2 linked regions of the Caenorhabditis elegans genome follow. The protein of the gene in region 2 interacts with the protein of the main gene of each other region in a pairwise test. Each region holds a gene or a part of one and is shown on either strand. Other genes may lie near its edges.

Region 1 (8,136 bases), on a different chromosome or scaffold from region 2:
AACCGAATGCCACGTGGATTATTTTAATCCACGTCTTCCATATGTTAAGTCCGGAAGTTCTTGTATTGGACAGTTCTGTTTCATAAGTGCGACTTCCCGTGGAGAAGTGTTCAGAGGTTGTGTTAACAGTGTGACTGTCGAGGGTGCCACTCCGTTGAAGGTTAGATTTTGTCTTTGTGTAAACATTTTTAATTAAAAAATTATGAATTGCAGTATCTAAAACCCACATAATTTTTCAAAAATCCTTTTGAGCCTTAAATAAAACAGAAAATAATTATCGACTCGAATTTATGAAAATTTTGGATAAAATTTCGAACATGTTTCTGATAATTTTTAAAGAACTTTAAAAAATGAACTGATGATGTAATTAGACGTTAAACGATTATTATCAGATTTCAGATTTTTACGAATTATTGCTTTCAGATTGGCTACACCCGTGCATACACTGGCTTAGAGCAATGGATTTGTGATCAATCTTACTGTAATGCTGATCTCAAATCAGCTGAACTCTCTTGGCCACCTGAGCTATATTTATACAGGTTGTGACTCTTGACAACTGAGAAATAATTTTGATTATTTCAGAAATATATCAAATCTCCGAGAGTTCAATGTTTTCTACATCGACTCCGCTCGCTCGTCATCCTCGATTTTTCTTGCCATTCCCATCGTTTTTCTAATTAATTATTGCCTTTTCCACTGAACCACCTTTTTCTTTCATTTTTACAAATGCTTTCAATATTTTCATATGAACAAATTTATATTTCTTCAAATTACTTCATTTTCAAACAATAAAAGCACCGGAGATTCTATGTTCTCTTTCTCAATATTATTTATTCTTCATCGACTTTTCTTTGAACCCATACGATTTTTTTCTGCTCGTCTTCAATTATTTTTTTCAGCTGAAAAATAATAAAAAGTTAAGTGCGGCACGAATTGAAAGAATAATTACCTGTAGAACAGCGTGAGTCATCATGAAGCTGACATTATTATGACTTGGCACTACAAGTGTAACTGATCCATCAAGATCTTTTTCTATTTTCAAATCCTGAAAATTAATTATTGGTATATCGAAAATTTTTTGAAAAGTTTCGAAAAAGTATTGTGAAAAGTTTCTATAGACTCCGATGAGAGCCTCTGATCCGCCTCTTCAATTGCCCGCTGCGTTTTTGGATGAGAGGCAATGAGACGACGGTAGAGACCGGGCGGGTTAATTATGTTTTCGTAAATTACCGTACCTTTTCAATAAGCTGTTTGGCTTCTTTTGAACTGATTTTCTCTCCACAAATATGTTCATTGACATCTTTTAACTGTTTAACTGACTTGAATCGAATCTTCACAAGAATAGGGAACATTCTACATCTTTTCAATCGATCAATTGCAGACTGATCAACTTGGAGGACACAATGGAGTCTGAAAATCTCAGCATAACTATGAAAATGTTTGAAAACTCAACCCTTGAGCCGTGATATCCATAATATGAGCAGTTGATACGACGTGATAAAGATCATAAACATCATCGTTTTGTTTCGAATCAATCAATACTTTATCCTTCAATAAAGCCGATACTTCATCCAAACTTGCAGTTAAAGACTCTCTTGCAACAATTGAAAACTTATCAGATTCATCAACAAGCATTTGAAGGAAAGGCTCAACAACTGCTCCAAACAAAAGAACCGGTCGTTTCACTTTTGTATCCAACTTCTCAACCCACTCATAAGCCTTCTTCGGGAACGGATTTGCATATCTGTTAGCTCGAATTGCCTGATAAACAGTCGTTGAACTTGGAATAGCTCCATGTTCTCTTTGTCGTCCCTCTTTGTCCACTTTCCATGCTCTCCATCTTCCAGTTTTGCCCATTAACATAGTCTTGTCAACGAAAACAACATCACCACATTTTAAATCCAGTTCATCTTTGTTCTCCATTGATCTATCGATATTAACACGAAGGAAGAAACTGTCACCGTCAGCTCCAAGTCTCAAACGATTCAATCGATCTCCACCGTCTTGAACTAGAAGACCTGTTAACTCCGAATTATCAGCTGATAAAGTATTCATTGCACACTCGAGTGTTGTATTTCGAACGCAATTTCCATCGATTGATAAAATGAGATCTCCTTCGAGAAGGTCAGAACCAATTGATTTTTCAGCGAGGATACCTAAAATATAGCGGAGATTATTTTGACATGAATTGCTTTCTCGTACCAATCGCATTTCCACCACAAAGTTTTACATCACTTCTTGGAACCTCGACCAGTCTCGGTTGAGATGAACGGTTTACAAGAAGAGATTCAGAGTGATGATTTCCACGTGGCAAGTGATATTTCTTATTGGATCTTCCCTCAGCGTAACTGTGCATTGCACTTCCAGTTGTTGAAATTGAAAAATCACTTCCATCTTTACTTATGCAATGACGTGGAGGTACTCCACTCCCTCCAGTCAAGCTGCAGGTAGCTGAAACAATTTCTAGACTACAGCAGTTAACTTTTGAAAACCTACAATTATTAGGATACTGATTGGAAAAACTTGTGCTTGGAAGTCGAATGGAGTTACTCGAAGACATAACAGAAGACATAGAGTCATCCCGAATTGTAGGATATACTGGTGGATGACTTGGACTGTAAACAGCTGATCTTCTGTGGGGTTTTCCTTCCATTATAGTTGATGATGTAGGTGTGAAGTGCATAGAATATGGACGAGCATCTGAAGTTGTCGTGTTCGATGAAAAGCTTCTTCCATCCCATCCTCCTCGATGAGATGATATTTGAGACATTGTTCGTTTTTGCTCACTATTTTGACGGATTAGTCTTCTGAAAGTCAGAGTTTTCTTCTTTTTTTTGACTAAAAATGTCAAGAATCTTACGTCACAGGTGACGTTGGTGTGCTAAATATGGTACTCTTAGGAACATATACTGGAACTCCTTCGATATTGGTTCCAGCAAATACGAGATCTTTTTCATTAACTGAAGATGGGCTCCATAAAGCTGTTGGAGCGGCTGTTGAAGATGAACTTATTTCAGAATGCGCTGTGGATCTGAACATTCAACTTTGTAGTAATCAAATTTGAAGGAAACTAACTTTGCATTGAATCTTTTATCCAGTGCATCCAGCATTAATTTTGTATGATCAATGCTACTTGAATAGGTTGGAGCACGTAGAGAACCATACCGTACCAAGGGACTCATTGATGCTGGAGAAGCTTGTGGCATTCGCAGAGATCCCTGACGAAGAAGAACTTGATCATTTGAACGATCAATATTCGCTTTTGCAACAACAGTTCGCTCTTTATCAGATCCACCATTTCGACTGAACCACTGAAACAAGAATACTAAAGTTTCACTAGCATTTTATAACGAAGGTTTACCCTCGAAAATATAGTTTGTCGATGTTTATCCTTTCCATTATGATCACCTCGTTTAGTAGATTGAAGAATTCCAATGACTAGAGGCTCTCGAGAATTTTTAATTAGCATCTCAGCATGTTTAGCATCATAAACAGGAGTGTGCATAACATGAACAACTCGTTGCCCTGGAGCCAATCCACTACGAGAAGCAGCACCGTTTGGTTCGCAGGAATTAATGAATACTCCATTGGATAGTTCAAGACCTACACCTGAAATGTAAAACTACACTCTTAAATGTAATAAGTAACTCACCATAGTTCAATGGCAGACAAACATCACTAATTTTATTGCAATTTGATCTTCTTCTAATAACAAGATGAATGTGATGACAGTTGGATAACATTCCCATTACACTTCTTTCGTCCATATCTGTTACAGATATGTCATTGACCATCATTATATGATCCAGCTTTTTCAATACATTATCAAATGGAGAACCGTGAGCAATTTGTCTAACATATATTGGACCATGAACAATTGAACCATCGTCCGTACGGCCTCCACCAAGCATAATTCCCAAGTTTGGTTTGTTGAAGGGCTGAAATTAATTTCGTTTTTAATTTTTATCTTGGCTGTCTGAAACGAAACGATTGAAATGAGTTTTCTTTCAACTTACCAAATTAATTTGAACAGAATGAGTATTCCAAATATCCACAATTGCATCTCCAGTTGTCTGTTGACATTTTCTCAAAGCTTCATCTCTTTCTTCTGTAATTCTAGCTCCATTTTGTTCTGCTTCTGTAAGCCTTGCAATTGCAGCTTCTTTTCGAGCATTTGCCTGAGCAGTTTCTTCCATATTGACTTTCAAGAGTCTTCTTGTATTTTCAAGTTTCTGTTTTAATGCAGCAACTTCTTCAGAATCCTGAAATTTTTTTTTAATTTGATTGTCATTGTAAAATCAAACCTCTTTCATTTTTTCAATTTCTTTTTGCAGTCGATCCCTCTCTTCATTTTGACGAGAGTTTTCTTCTAATACAATACTTCTTTCCTGCATTGTTTCCTCATAATCTCTCTGGAGAGCTTCATATTGTAACCGTAGCCGTTTGTTCGCTTCTTCAATTTCCATTTTATATGTTTCACTTCTGAAATATATTTTTTTTCATAACGGGCCATTTTCCAATGGTTTTTAAATATTTATTAGTTTTCTTCTGCTGAAAATTATTTTCGAACGTTTAAAAAAACTTGAATTTCAAATTTTTAAAGCCATTCAAATTTTTTACAACATCATTATGATTAAAAACTGGCCCGAAAAGTTTCAGATCGACAATTCTCTAGTTTAAAGTGCACCAACAAATTCTCTCAAAAATGACATATTGATTTTATTTCGAAATTTCAGGAAGTTAACTACCACTTATCATATACATTTTGGTACCAATTCCAGGTCTTTTTAATTTTCAATAAACATTTTTGAGCTTTTCTAGTGATTTAAATCATGAACTAACCTATGTACTTGTATTTGTAGACTATCAATTTTCTCTTCAAACTCATCAATTTTCTTTCCAATATCATCTCGCTCTTCAGATGCTTTTCTAACTTTTTCCATCCATTTTGCCTCAACTTCTCGAATCTCTTTTTCCATTTCCTCTGCAATCCGTCTTCGTTCTGCTTTTTCAAACTTTAACTGTTTCACTAATTTCTCTTTTTCCACATCTTCAAGCTTTTCCTCTTCATTTTCATTTTCATCCTCTTCAACTGACAAACTCGACGGTTTTGCTTCCACTTCTACCATATAGAATTCTGAATGAAAAACGGAGAAATGGGTCAACTGGACGACATACGGAAAGGACTAATTATAGAAGATGGAATAGGAGAAAAGATAGAAAGAAAATAAGTGAGAAACCGGTCGAATGCGCAGGAATATCACACTGATTTGTTCATTCGGTTCGTATGGAATAGATGGAGGAAAAGAAGAAGACGGGTGAATTAGAAATAACACAATTTGAAGAAATTTCCTTCAATTAACAGTTAAAATTAGTTGGAATTTGAAGGTTACTACAAGAATGAAAATAGAGGCACTTGAAAATAGAAACGAGATGTTTTTAAATATTCTTTTGGAAATACATGACAGATTTTTGAAATACAGACCAACGTTATTGTTTTGCTAATGAAATGAAGGAACATATACCACAAACGAAACACTAAAAAAACTAGAAATACTGAAAAACTCAACTTTCGATAACGATTTTCCCAAAACCTGACTAAGCTCACTGTTTGAATTTCTTTCAAAATGAAAACTGTGAAAATAATCAGTAATTTGTTCCACATATTTTTATACCAATCAGATGAAGTGTGTGCGGAGATCAAAAGCCACACTGCGATATTCCAACTGAACATTCAGATTATAAGATCCATATATTTCAAAATAAAAACAATACTCACAGTGTTTCGATCCAACGAAAATTCACACAAAAACTGTCTTAATACGGTCAAGATGGGCGGTGCATGGGTCCGAAATAATCCGTTAAAAGACGAGTTTGCAGGAAAAGGAAAAGAATAAACATACGAGTCTTGCCATCATCATCGCCTCAAATACAAACATACAAGGCAGAGAATCTTAACAAAAAACTATGTTTTGATACGTTTTTCCATGTTTCGATAATATAAATTTTTACTTGGCTCTTGGTAAACTTTAAGCTTTTTTTTTTGACTTTTGACAAACTTTGGAGCTCCTACCTTTGAACAAAATATAAAACATCGCTAGTTGGTAACCTGATCAATTTTTTAAAAATAGAGTCGATTTAAAATTTAGGCCGTTAGCTTTAACAGAATATGTAGAAACGCTGTTTTCTAGAAGAAAATATTATTTTGAATATTTCAACCGTGAGAGATAGTGTAATAAAATCGGTTAAACTTTAACCTTAAAAACCCACATGACTTTTTTCAACAAACGATATATGTGTATTTACAATGTTTGTGATGTGTGAAACGAATTGTTTGAAGTTTGTTCAAATTGAATTGAGATGAAATAGAAAAATGAAAAGAGTAGGAGAAGGAGTAGGGAATTTTATGTAGGAATTTTAATTGAACTTGAACTACATGTCATTCTTGTGAATCTGAAAAATTACCTATAATATAATAGGGCTTCCATGCAAATAGAGGGTGCCTACTTTCGTGCCTACGAGGCAGGTGTAACTAGTTTTTAGGGTGATATACCAAAGAAACCTATCACTGGAGTTGAGGAATAATTTCAGGCTAGTAGTCCTAGGTGTATTTCACAGCATGTTGACAATTTACAAATAGACGTTTATCAGTAACAATTCATAGAAAATTTCTGTGAAAATGATTTTATCTTTAATACATAGCTGAGATTTAAATGTAGTTGAAATCCCATTGACTAAATTCTAATCCACTTCTGATGGTAAACTCAATTTCATAAGGAACATTCTAACTTCATGAAATAATAAAAGATAAAACATTTCATAACAAATCATGTATCCAAGTAGATTGAAGAGAAGTAGGTTATTAGAGAGAAATGAGAGGATACATACAGATACAGGTCGGTTGCGATGGGCGCACGACGAACGAACAGTTCCTCCCGGAAAGTGAAAGAGAAATGCGGGAGAAGGTGGGTGAAATAGTGTTTGAAAACAAGAGAGTTTAGGTAGACAACCAAAGAAACTGTACGAATGGGACGCATGGACAAACACGCTCGTTTCTCTACTGCTTCTTCATCTCATTCACGTTGGAATCTTACTTGACCATGTTTGTTTTATGAGAACTAGAGGACGAGAAGCATACCACAAGGAACACATGTAGTTATTAATATTGTTTTGATTATCGTTGCAATCTAGAATCTTGAAATAGGAGTAATTCTTTTGAAATTTTCTACTCGGTATTACGGTAAAATGAAATGTGCAACTGTACCAAAGAAACATTTCAGGAGTGTGTGATTTTTTTGTCATACTGTAGTGAGTTCTCAAAATCCCTCCACCCTTTAAGTTATAACCCAAATTTGAAATTAAATACGGTGTAAACTCGAAGCGAAAGTACGCGAAATGGTAGGTCGAGAATTTGATTTAAGTTTTTTCAAACTTGTATTAAATTGCAAATTTATGTAGAACACATGGATCAATTTGGCTAATGCGGTGTCCTAACAGGTACCGATTTTCAAATCTCTTTTACATCAAAATATATATATTACCTCGACTTACCATTACATTCTAAATTGGTAATATTTGTCTCTATCAGAATAACCGAGAAATAAACCAATGAAACTGTAATTTCATGAAACTGGAGTGGTTCATGGGACTAATGGAATCAGATATTATTTTAAAACTATTCATGTATTGAATTTGTTTTGGTAAAAAAACCTATCATAGTTTTCGAAGTGAATTTTTAATTTCGATTAATTGTCCGTACATTCTAGCGGACCTGCAGCAATTCTCGAAATTACTCCAAAAGTAAGTTTTTTTGGAAATTTGGCAAATTACCAAAACTTTGACTGAAAATTTAGAAGTGTTCAATTGATATTCGGTCATGTTAGACTATAAAAAATCCCCGCTGATGATACTTTGCCATTAATTTGAATTAGATAATCGTATCTGAAATAAAATAATATCAAGTAATATGATCCGTTTAAAGATAATCAATGAATACAATCTAATTTTCCGATACGGACCACAAGGACACTGTTTAACCAGTTTCCTTCACCACATACATACCGAATATTTTTGTATGTCTTCTTTCGTTTTGAAACGTTAAGTTTTTTGCAAAGTTAGTTTACCTTAATTCAAACA
Region 2 (8,136 bases):
CGTGGTCCACGGGAGACCCAATACGTAGTTCTCACCAACATTGCAACAATATGCGAACGAAATCCGGTAGAGGAAGGAACTTACGCCATCTCAAAAGTGCGCTGAACGCAACTGAGAAAATAGCATGAAAAGCATGTAAAGACTGAGACAAATCTAGAAGAAACTGTTATACATTTATCAGTTTTTGAATTAATTTCACAAAATGATAAATTTGTGATAGCAGTGGTTAGCGTCTCAGTCTTAGAGTCACTTTCCCCGTTTTTGTGTTGTCTTAATCTGGATTGTCTGAAATTCTTTTAAAATGAGATATCTAGCTTTTTGAACGATATTGTTGCTCAATTGAAGTGCACTGTGATGTTTTTGCTCATAAGTAAATACATAGAATTCTTGGTTTTGACAAATGAGACAATCCAGATATTTTTACCAGTGAATTGGAGTGCTGCTTGGTTGTGTTTCAGTGTACTTGTCTTTTGATGGAACTTTTACATATCAAAAATCAATTTTTTTCACTCTCAGACGATGTTCGACCCGTTCCTAAAATCATTCTTCGTACGATCCTGTGACAGTTCTCTCGTTAAGAAACTAAAACTTCATGTGCTCACAAGTTTGGTTTCAGAAGCGAATGTTCATATCATTTTGAGAGAGTTACAGGTGAGAGAGGGTAATAAATTTTCATATGAAATTCTTTTTCATTTTTCAGACCTATGTTCATATGTCTGATTTAGCTTCTCCAGCTGTTGAGGCAATTGGAAGATGTGCAGTTCGCGTCGGAGCAGTATCAGATCAATGTATGACTGGACTTGTCCAATTGATTTCTTCTTCCGATGAGAAAGTCGTATGCTCTGCTGTAGTTGTCATCAAGAGACTTTTGCATGCTTCTGCCCCTCTGAATCTTCTTTCAAGGCTTATGAGGCTCATGCCGAATATGATTGCAGCACAAGCGCGAGCTTGTGTCATTTGGCTCGTCGCCACCCATGTCGAACAAGTTCTACACATGGCTCCAGACTTTTTGAGGCTTATTGCAAAGAAATTTTCGACGGAAAATGAGCTGGTTAAACTAGAAGCTCTGAAACTTGCAGTGAAGTTGTGGCTTGTGAAGCGTGATGACTCTGAAAAGATTGTACAATACGTATTCCAACTTGCCCGATTCGATCTCAGTTATGACGTTCGTGATCGATGCCGATTTTTACGGAATCTAATGTTCAATACGGAGATTCTTTCACAGCATATGGAAGAGATTTTCATGTCGAAAAAGCCAGCACCAGAGCTTATTAGTAGTTTCAAGGAACGTGATAAATTCCAATTGGGATCTCTGTCACATGTGTTGAATCAAAGATGTACGAAATACATTGATCTACCCGAATTCCCAGCAACATCAAGTGATTCGTTATTAAGAAAAGAAGCACATGCACCGAATGAATTGAAATTGGATGATAGTGACGAAGAAGAAGATGATGATGATGAAGATGAAGAAGAAGACGAAGATGAAGAAGAGGAGGATGAAGATGAAGAAGATGAGGAAGAGGAAGAAAATGAATCAGAAGAAGAAGAGGAAGATGATGAGGATGAAGAAAGTGAAGAGGAATCTGATGAAGAAGATGAAGAGGAGGAAGAAGAGGATGATAGTGAGCCAGAGGAGAAGCCTAACCCAAAACCATCTACTAAGAAACAAGCACTCATTCTCAATAAATCAAGTGAGTTTCAATCAAAACCGATTTTAGGGTAGCACAAAAGAATATTCCTGTAAAATCTCGGACCAAAACAAACAAATTCGTGAAAATACCAAGAAATAACTCTATCTTGGATTTATTGTAAACTTTAAAAAACCCCATTAACCACATTTGGTAAGGTATATATGCAAAACATGAAAAGTGTTTGAAGTACAGATCTGTAGAGTTACGGTATTATTCGTGGCTACAGTACCCCTAACCGTATTTGATTCTTAATATTCAAAAAAATTCAGAACCAATGAATGGTAAGCCAAAAACAGAAAGAAATGATCTCGATTTGCTGATTGACGTTGATTTCTCGGCCGCGGGAAGTCGTCAAATAATGGATGCAACTCATATCGAAGAAAAAGAAATTGAACTTTTGAATGTAATTGAAGGAAACGGGCTAATATTATCAATTAGTTATCCGCGTATTAATGATGGACAATACACGGCTATTCGATTTGGAATCACAAACAAAACCGATGGAGATTTGTTAGGAGTTGAATTAAAAACTGAAGAAGGTCTCGATGTGAAGGGAAACTCGATTATTGGAGATATTCCGTCTGGAGCACGAGTTTCTGTTGATTTGCTCGTAGATTTTGGAGATAGTGCGACAAGTAGAGAATGGATACTTACAAGAGATGATGGTCATGAGAAGCATTTCAGATTTGAGGTAATCTTTTAAATAGTTTCAGAGGCTTTTAAAATTATTTTTTCCACAAAAAAAATTGAAAAACGTAAATACTCCCTTGATGGTTAATATTTTATATCAAAACTTGTATAATTCCTGACTAGATTCCACAATCCGCATCTTTTAAAGATAAACTAAATTTTTTCCTAAATTCTAGGTCCCATATGGTGAGCAAGTTCAACCAATTCGTCTGTCTCCAGAAGATATTTCAAAAGAAAGAAGTCGTCTTGGAGGTCTCAATCGGCATGTGATACAACTCGAAAATCCCATTAATCCTTCGTCAATTGCTCTATTTGTTAACGCATTTTCTTCGGATTTGACCATTTTCACTTGCCAGACACGTTCACGAAAGGATGTTTGTATTCTGACAGTTTCAGAAAAATCGATTGAGTGCTGTTGTGACAACTCGGTGATAGGACGAATGCTGGCGTTCTCTGTCTCCAAAAATTGCTAGAAAGATTAATTCAAATTGTATTTATTTATTTATTTTGCTCACTTTTTCTTGAAATCATTCCTTTACTAACTATTCATGGTGACGGATATATAAATTTTTAACAGAAAAATTAGAAATATGTAGGCACTTTAGAAATTTGGAAAATAATGTGGGTGAATGGCGAACGTGGAACTTATATTGAGCAACAGTAAGGCGGGGCAAATAAAATCGGGGTCTAATACCAATTGGGTGGGAATAAAACATAAGCATGATACAGGATGTCATGGAAAAGAATAATAACGGAAAGAAACGAAGGAAATGATGAAATGGAGGATCCCTGAGTGAATGAAAAGTCACAGTATGCGAGAAAGGTGAGAAAAACCAAAAAATGAAATGTTAAGCCCGTGTCGTTGTAAGATGACTGGAATTGTTGTTAGACGAGTTGTTGCTCACGCGAATCGTCGATAAAATTGAATCGAGCCGCTCGACTTTTGTCATCAGGTCTTTGACGATTCGATTGATGCAAGCACCGGCGCCCGTACCGGTAGATACTCGTTGGCTCTGAAAGCTATGTAAATGTTGGCTGAGAACTATAAATGGGTTAGCAAATATTGTTTTTTCGGTCTATTCTGCATCTAGAGATGCTATCGTTTATAGTTGTGAGGGAAAAAAGAATTAGAACTCGCTGCAAGAGTTTTTCGACTAAATGTTTTTCATTCCGAAATAAGGTGTGAAGCTATTAATTGATCGAAATTTGCAGGTCTTCTTTGAATTAATATTTGGATATTTACTTTCAAAAATCCACCAAAAAAAGAAAATTTACGTACTTTTTCTTGAATATTTTTATTGTCATCGATGCGCACTTCGTCAATTTTTGCAATAGTTTCCTCCATTCGAACATCTTCGTGGTGCTGCACGTCTTCCATGAAAACATCTTCCGAGCCTTAAATAGTACTAGTTATTTTCATTCTCAAAATGCGACAAATACTTACTCATTTTAAACTCTTCTTTACTTGGACCTGGGGATGGCTCGTCCGGCAGAATTTCTGGATCATTCCTCAATGGTTCTACAATCAAACGTGGCCGTTCTGTTGTTCGAAGTTGTTCTTCTCGTAATCTATGCATTTCTTCAGCAGCAACTTGCCGTTCATAAAGCTCACTTTCCAACATTGCTATCTTTTCAATAGCATGATCCAGTTTCGATCCGAGATCAGATGCTAGATATTCCTTATTTCTTTCTGATGTTTCGAGCACATCGTTTCTCTGTTCCAGTTTTCGAATTCTTTCTCTCTGACTTTCACATTGTTCATGAAGATGTGAGTTTTCTCGTCTTAATTGCTCTTCGACTTGTGCAAATTGTACACGGGAATCGTCCTGTCGATCCTTTAAAATTCACAAAATTCAAATTATAGTTGAAAAATTTTATAAAGTTTTTTTTTTCAATTTTAATGTAAAAAATAGTACCAACCTTGTTCCTAATTTGCTCTGTGGTCATCTGCTGTACTCTGGTTTCTGCTTTTTTCAGTTGTGTTTTCAAATCATCCAATTCTGAATCCATCATTTTCTCAATTTCCGCGGAACTTGTCTGGAACTCGTTAAACTCTTCGCGCATTTGCAAGAAATGACCAAGAAGCTCATGGTGCGGTAGTCCGCGAATTTGATCCTCAGACAAATCCATTGATTTCTGATGATCTGAAAATATTAAAGGTTTAGAAAATTGTTCAGGATATTCAACAAAAATTATGAATCGTAGGAAAAAACGTATAATGCCGCCTGTGAACACACTAAACCCTTACAACGTTCGGCCACGTGTGGACAAAAAGTGAGAGAATAGAATGGACATTTGGGAAAGAGAGAAAAAGAGAACTGGTCGAACGGAGGAAAACAGAAGCAACTACGTATTAGTTGCTACCGCAAATGGATGTTTTTTGAGGTTTAACGATGTTGAAGAAAAGTCTCAGTATTCTTATAAATCGGGATATCTAAGGTCGCCATCATCTGATAGACAGCTAAAGTCATCTCTCTGAGGAAAGATGGAAAATCCTCCAAAGTTTTTGACACAAGGCATTCGAGCAAACAAAAAAGTGGGGGTGCTCCGGCTGCTCCGGCCGCCGTGTGCTCTGTGTTTGTCCTTGCTCCCATAGCTCGTCCGCACTTCCGCTACAAAAAGTCGAACAGCTGTGCGAGTAACACCAATAGGCAATAATTTTAAGATCAGATAACCTTTGAAGATTTCAAAATACTTTGAAGGAAAATTTTACTGTTTTTTGGGTTTAATACACTGATGAAGTTCAAAGAAATCTGCTATAAGAAACTAATTCCGAAAAAATTAACACTTTTTGTAAATAGAATAGAATAGTCATTCAAGAAAATCTGTGTTAAAAGAAAAATTGGTAAATTTCTTCAAAGAGTATTCCAGAAATGGCAATCAATTTTAGTAATCGATAATTAAACTTCGGAAATAGAAATTAAATTCATATAACAGTCCAATTTCCCACACGAAATTCAGGTCAAACTCACGATAGGCAGCAGTCGGAGGAATGGGGAGCGGCAATGGTCGCGTATAATAACTGATAACAAATAGAATAAGGAATGCAGAATATATTGAGCATATTATTTGAAAGATTTTCAAGTTAAGCGGGTCAATTTAGTTGTAACGATTGAGACTAATGATGTAAGTGAGAATTTGGAGAGAATGAAATGTATTAACAAACATTTAAAAAATGAAATTCCAAAACGCCTACGCATGACTCATCGAGTTGTTGAGTTCTAATTGGATTAGGTGTGGTGAACACAGAAAATCGTACGAATTAGTGAACAGAAACACGAAACCGGTTGAGATAATAAATGACCAATTTCAGCGGTTAATATAGGATTCACGAATCACTGGGCCACGTCACGAGGAGAGTTGGGGGTGGTATAATCTGTTTTTCGCGTTTTTTCCCGCGCCGCAGTACCACACCTAAATTTGATATTCGAAAATGTAAATGAACGAGAAAAGTGCTTCACATACACACAAACTATACGATTCATCTATTTCCTATTCAGGTCGACATGACACGATCAAGGTTAACATCACTCTGCTGAAGAATTGAATAGTACGAACAGGTGAACAAAAAAAGAAAGCGATCGTCGCAAAAGATTCCTCCACATTGAGAAGCCTATCAAATCAGTATTTGACTTCACTCGTAAAGTGCCAATCGAAGAGCGAGAGCTCTGTGTTGACATTTTGGTGCTCTGACAAACTGAACTGATCATAAAACTTTTTTGTTCGGGGGCAAGCAAAAGCTGAGTAAATACGTGTTTAGCAATGAAAATGCCGAGTTTAGAAACACTCAAAACTGCCAAGAATAGAAGACAGAAATTTCGTAAAAGAGTAAATGGTGCAAAATTTCAAAGCAATTGTTGAAAATTAAAAGAAGAAAAAACATTTAGTTTAAAAGATGGTTTCAAAAATCTGTTACACAATATGTCGTCAAATATGCTGCATTAAAAAACTTGCGTACTAAGAGAACTACAGTAATACATATATTTTCAATGCTCGCCCGGAAAATTAATTGAAAACGTTCAACGAAGAATTTTGAATTTGGCCTAGTGGAAAATAATAATTTCAAAGCCATCTTTTCATGACGATAAATCTCGAAATCGTCCACCCAACCAGGTTAACAGGGAATTTCAATTTAAAAATTTAAAATTAATAAGCAAACAGGCAAGACTCCTATTTGAAACAGTACAACAATTTTGAATTCAGGCAATGACGCCAAATACCATCAAAAATGAGTCAGTATGGTGTGGGAGAAAGACTAAGACAGTACTGAGGAAGTCAGAGGCGGAGAGTGAAGGAAAATGTTGATGCAGTCTCGTGTATAGCTTCGCGTGAAAGAAAATATTGAGGAGTTTCGAGAGACGATTGAGAAGATGAGAGAGTGACGGACGCGCGGAGGGATTAGAGATTCCTCTCACGCAGACAATCGATTTTCGTTGGAGAAAGAGAAGATGAAAAAGAAGAAGGAGAATGGAATGCCAGCAGTCATCAATGCAACAGACAATAAGTTTGACAGAGACATATACAACTGGCCAATTAGGAATTGTCACTTGGCTTCTCTTTACAAATTAATTTCGGTTAGCTAATACTACGATTACGATCTTTCGAAGACAATTTAATTCGAAAATCGCCAAATTACGAAATACTTCTCAGGTGATCAATTGACTTTAAACATTGAAAATTTGTGACTGAAAACCATGACCACACCCAGGAAAATCACATGATTCAGAATAAAAAACGTGAATGTTCTGGAAAACTGCGTCATAAAAGGTTTTGGTTTAAAAGGAAACACTTGATTCCTGAAATACGAGGAAAATTGCAAAATTAAAGAAAAGTGCAGAAAACATTCAATTTTAGTGAAGAATATGATAAGAAGTGGAATGACAAAGAAGAAAGTTCAGTCAACTGAAACAGGGTTCTGCAACAGAAGAATGTGTGTCACATGACGTATTCACAGCAATATGACCGATTCAATCTTTTCGAGAAACAGGAAAAAAGTGGAAAAACATCGATATTATTTGAGTGCGCTGTTCTAAAAAAGCGAAAAATTCTGGAGAAAAGAAAAAAAACACGAACTCAAAAAATAGTACATTTAAAGGCGCGCGGGTTAAATCGAATGGGTCTCGCCACGGAAAAAAGTTTATGGTAGCATTTATTGTTTGCCGCGGTTCTTTTTCAATTATATAATTAATTATTGCTGTTCTTTTCGAAAAATGAAATACAGAAAACCTTTTAAAAAATAAAGAGAGCTCGTTTTATTCATAAAAAGTTATTCCCCAAAATACGGAAAAGCAGCCGCCGCAACGAAGAAGACTACCATAAACTTTTCTCGTGGCGAGACACATCAGAATAAATTCATGCACCTTAAAAGTACACGTTGCAGATAATTGTGAAGTTAGAATAGGTTACGATACACGTATGAAATTTAAGTTGATACACGTTTAGCGCTTTGAATAACAATAATTCAGGTATAAAACCATTTTTTAACTTGAAATTCTTGTTAGGTTCGTTTTTTTTAATAAGTTATTTTTTATTAGCAATAAAAATGAGGACAATTTGTATAATTAATGCTGATTTCCAATGAATCATATTCCACAGGAATTAGTTGCTCACGCGGGATCATAAGATCATAACAATCATTCTCAGAAGCACAGTGGTGGTCGAACAGCCATCAAATTCCGCACAACTTTCCGGGTCTCGACACGATGTTGTCGAACTGGAGCCAATGATCCAAAGCTTTTTCTTCTTTTTGGAG

What was found.
Region 1: the proteins of nud-2 (region 2) and magu-4 interact in a two-hybrid assay, tested with the Caenorhabditis elegans proteins (one large-scale study listed by BioGRID).

The regions. Positions count from the first base shown.
Region 1 is NC_003282.8:10,006,809-10,014,944, reverse strand, and holds magu-4 (PDZ domain-containing protein), read right to left. Parts: upstream 5,193-8,136; 5' UTR 5,130-5,192; coding exon 4,843-5,129; intron 4,483-4,842; coding exon 4,305-4,482; intron 4,263-4,304; coding exon 4,017-4,262; intron 3,939-4,016; coding exon 3,653-3,938; intron 3,610-3,652; coding exon 3,362-3,609; intron 3,312-3,361; coding exon 3,076-3,311; intron 3,032-3,075; coding exon 2,861-3,031; intron 2,808-2,860; coding exon 2,497-2,807; intron 2,452-2,496; coding exon 2,203-2,451; intron 2,157-2,202; coding exon 1,454-2,156; intron 1,411-1,453; coding exon 1,236-1,410; intron 1,046-1,235; coding exon 950-1,045; exon of another isoform or gene 900-949; coding exon 831-899; 3' UTR 738-830; downstream 1-737. Other genes in the region: F44D12.2 (DUF7622 domain-containing protein), read left to right, coding at 1-160, 424-539, 583-700.
Region 2 is NC_003279.8:7,854,890-7,863,025, forward strand, and holds nud-2 (Protein nud-2), read right to left. Parts: upstream 4,529-8,136; 5' UTR 4,515-4,528; coding exon 4,305-4,514; intron 4,220-4,304; coding exon 3,829-4,219; intron 3,780-3,828; coding exon 3,664-3,779; intron 3,398-3,663; coding exon 3,233-3,397; 3' UTR 2,867-3,232; downstream 1-2,866. Other genes in the region: apb-3 (AP-3 complex subunit beta), read left to right, coding at 1-96, 517-651, 701-1,694, 1,964-2,385, 2,561-2,857; R11A5.3 (uncharacterized protein), read right to left, coding at 8,024-8,136. UniProt on the Caenorhabditis elegans protein: Part of a complex with lis-1, which is recruited to the nuclear envelope by unc-83, where, in turn, it recruits dynein to the nuclear surface and regulates nuclear migration in hypodermal precursor cells.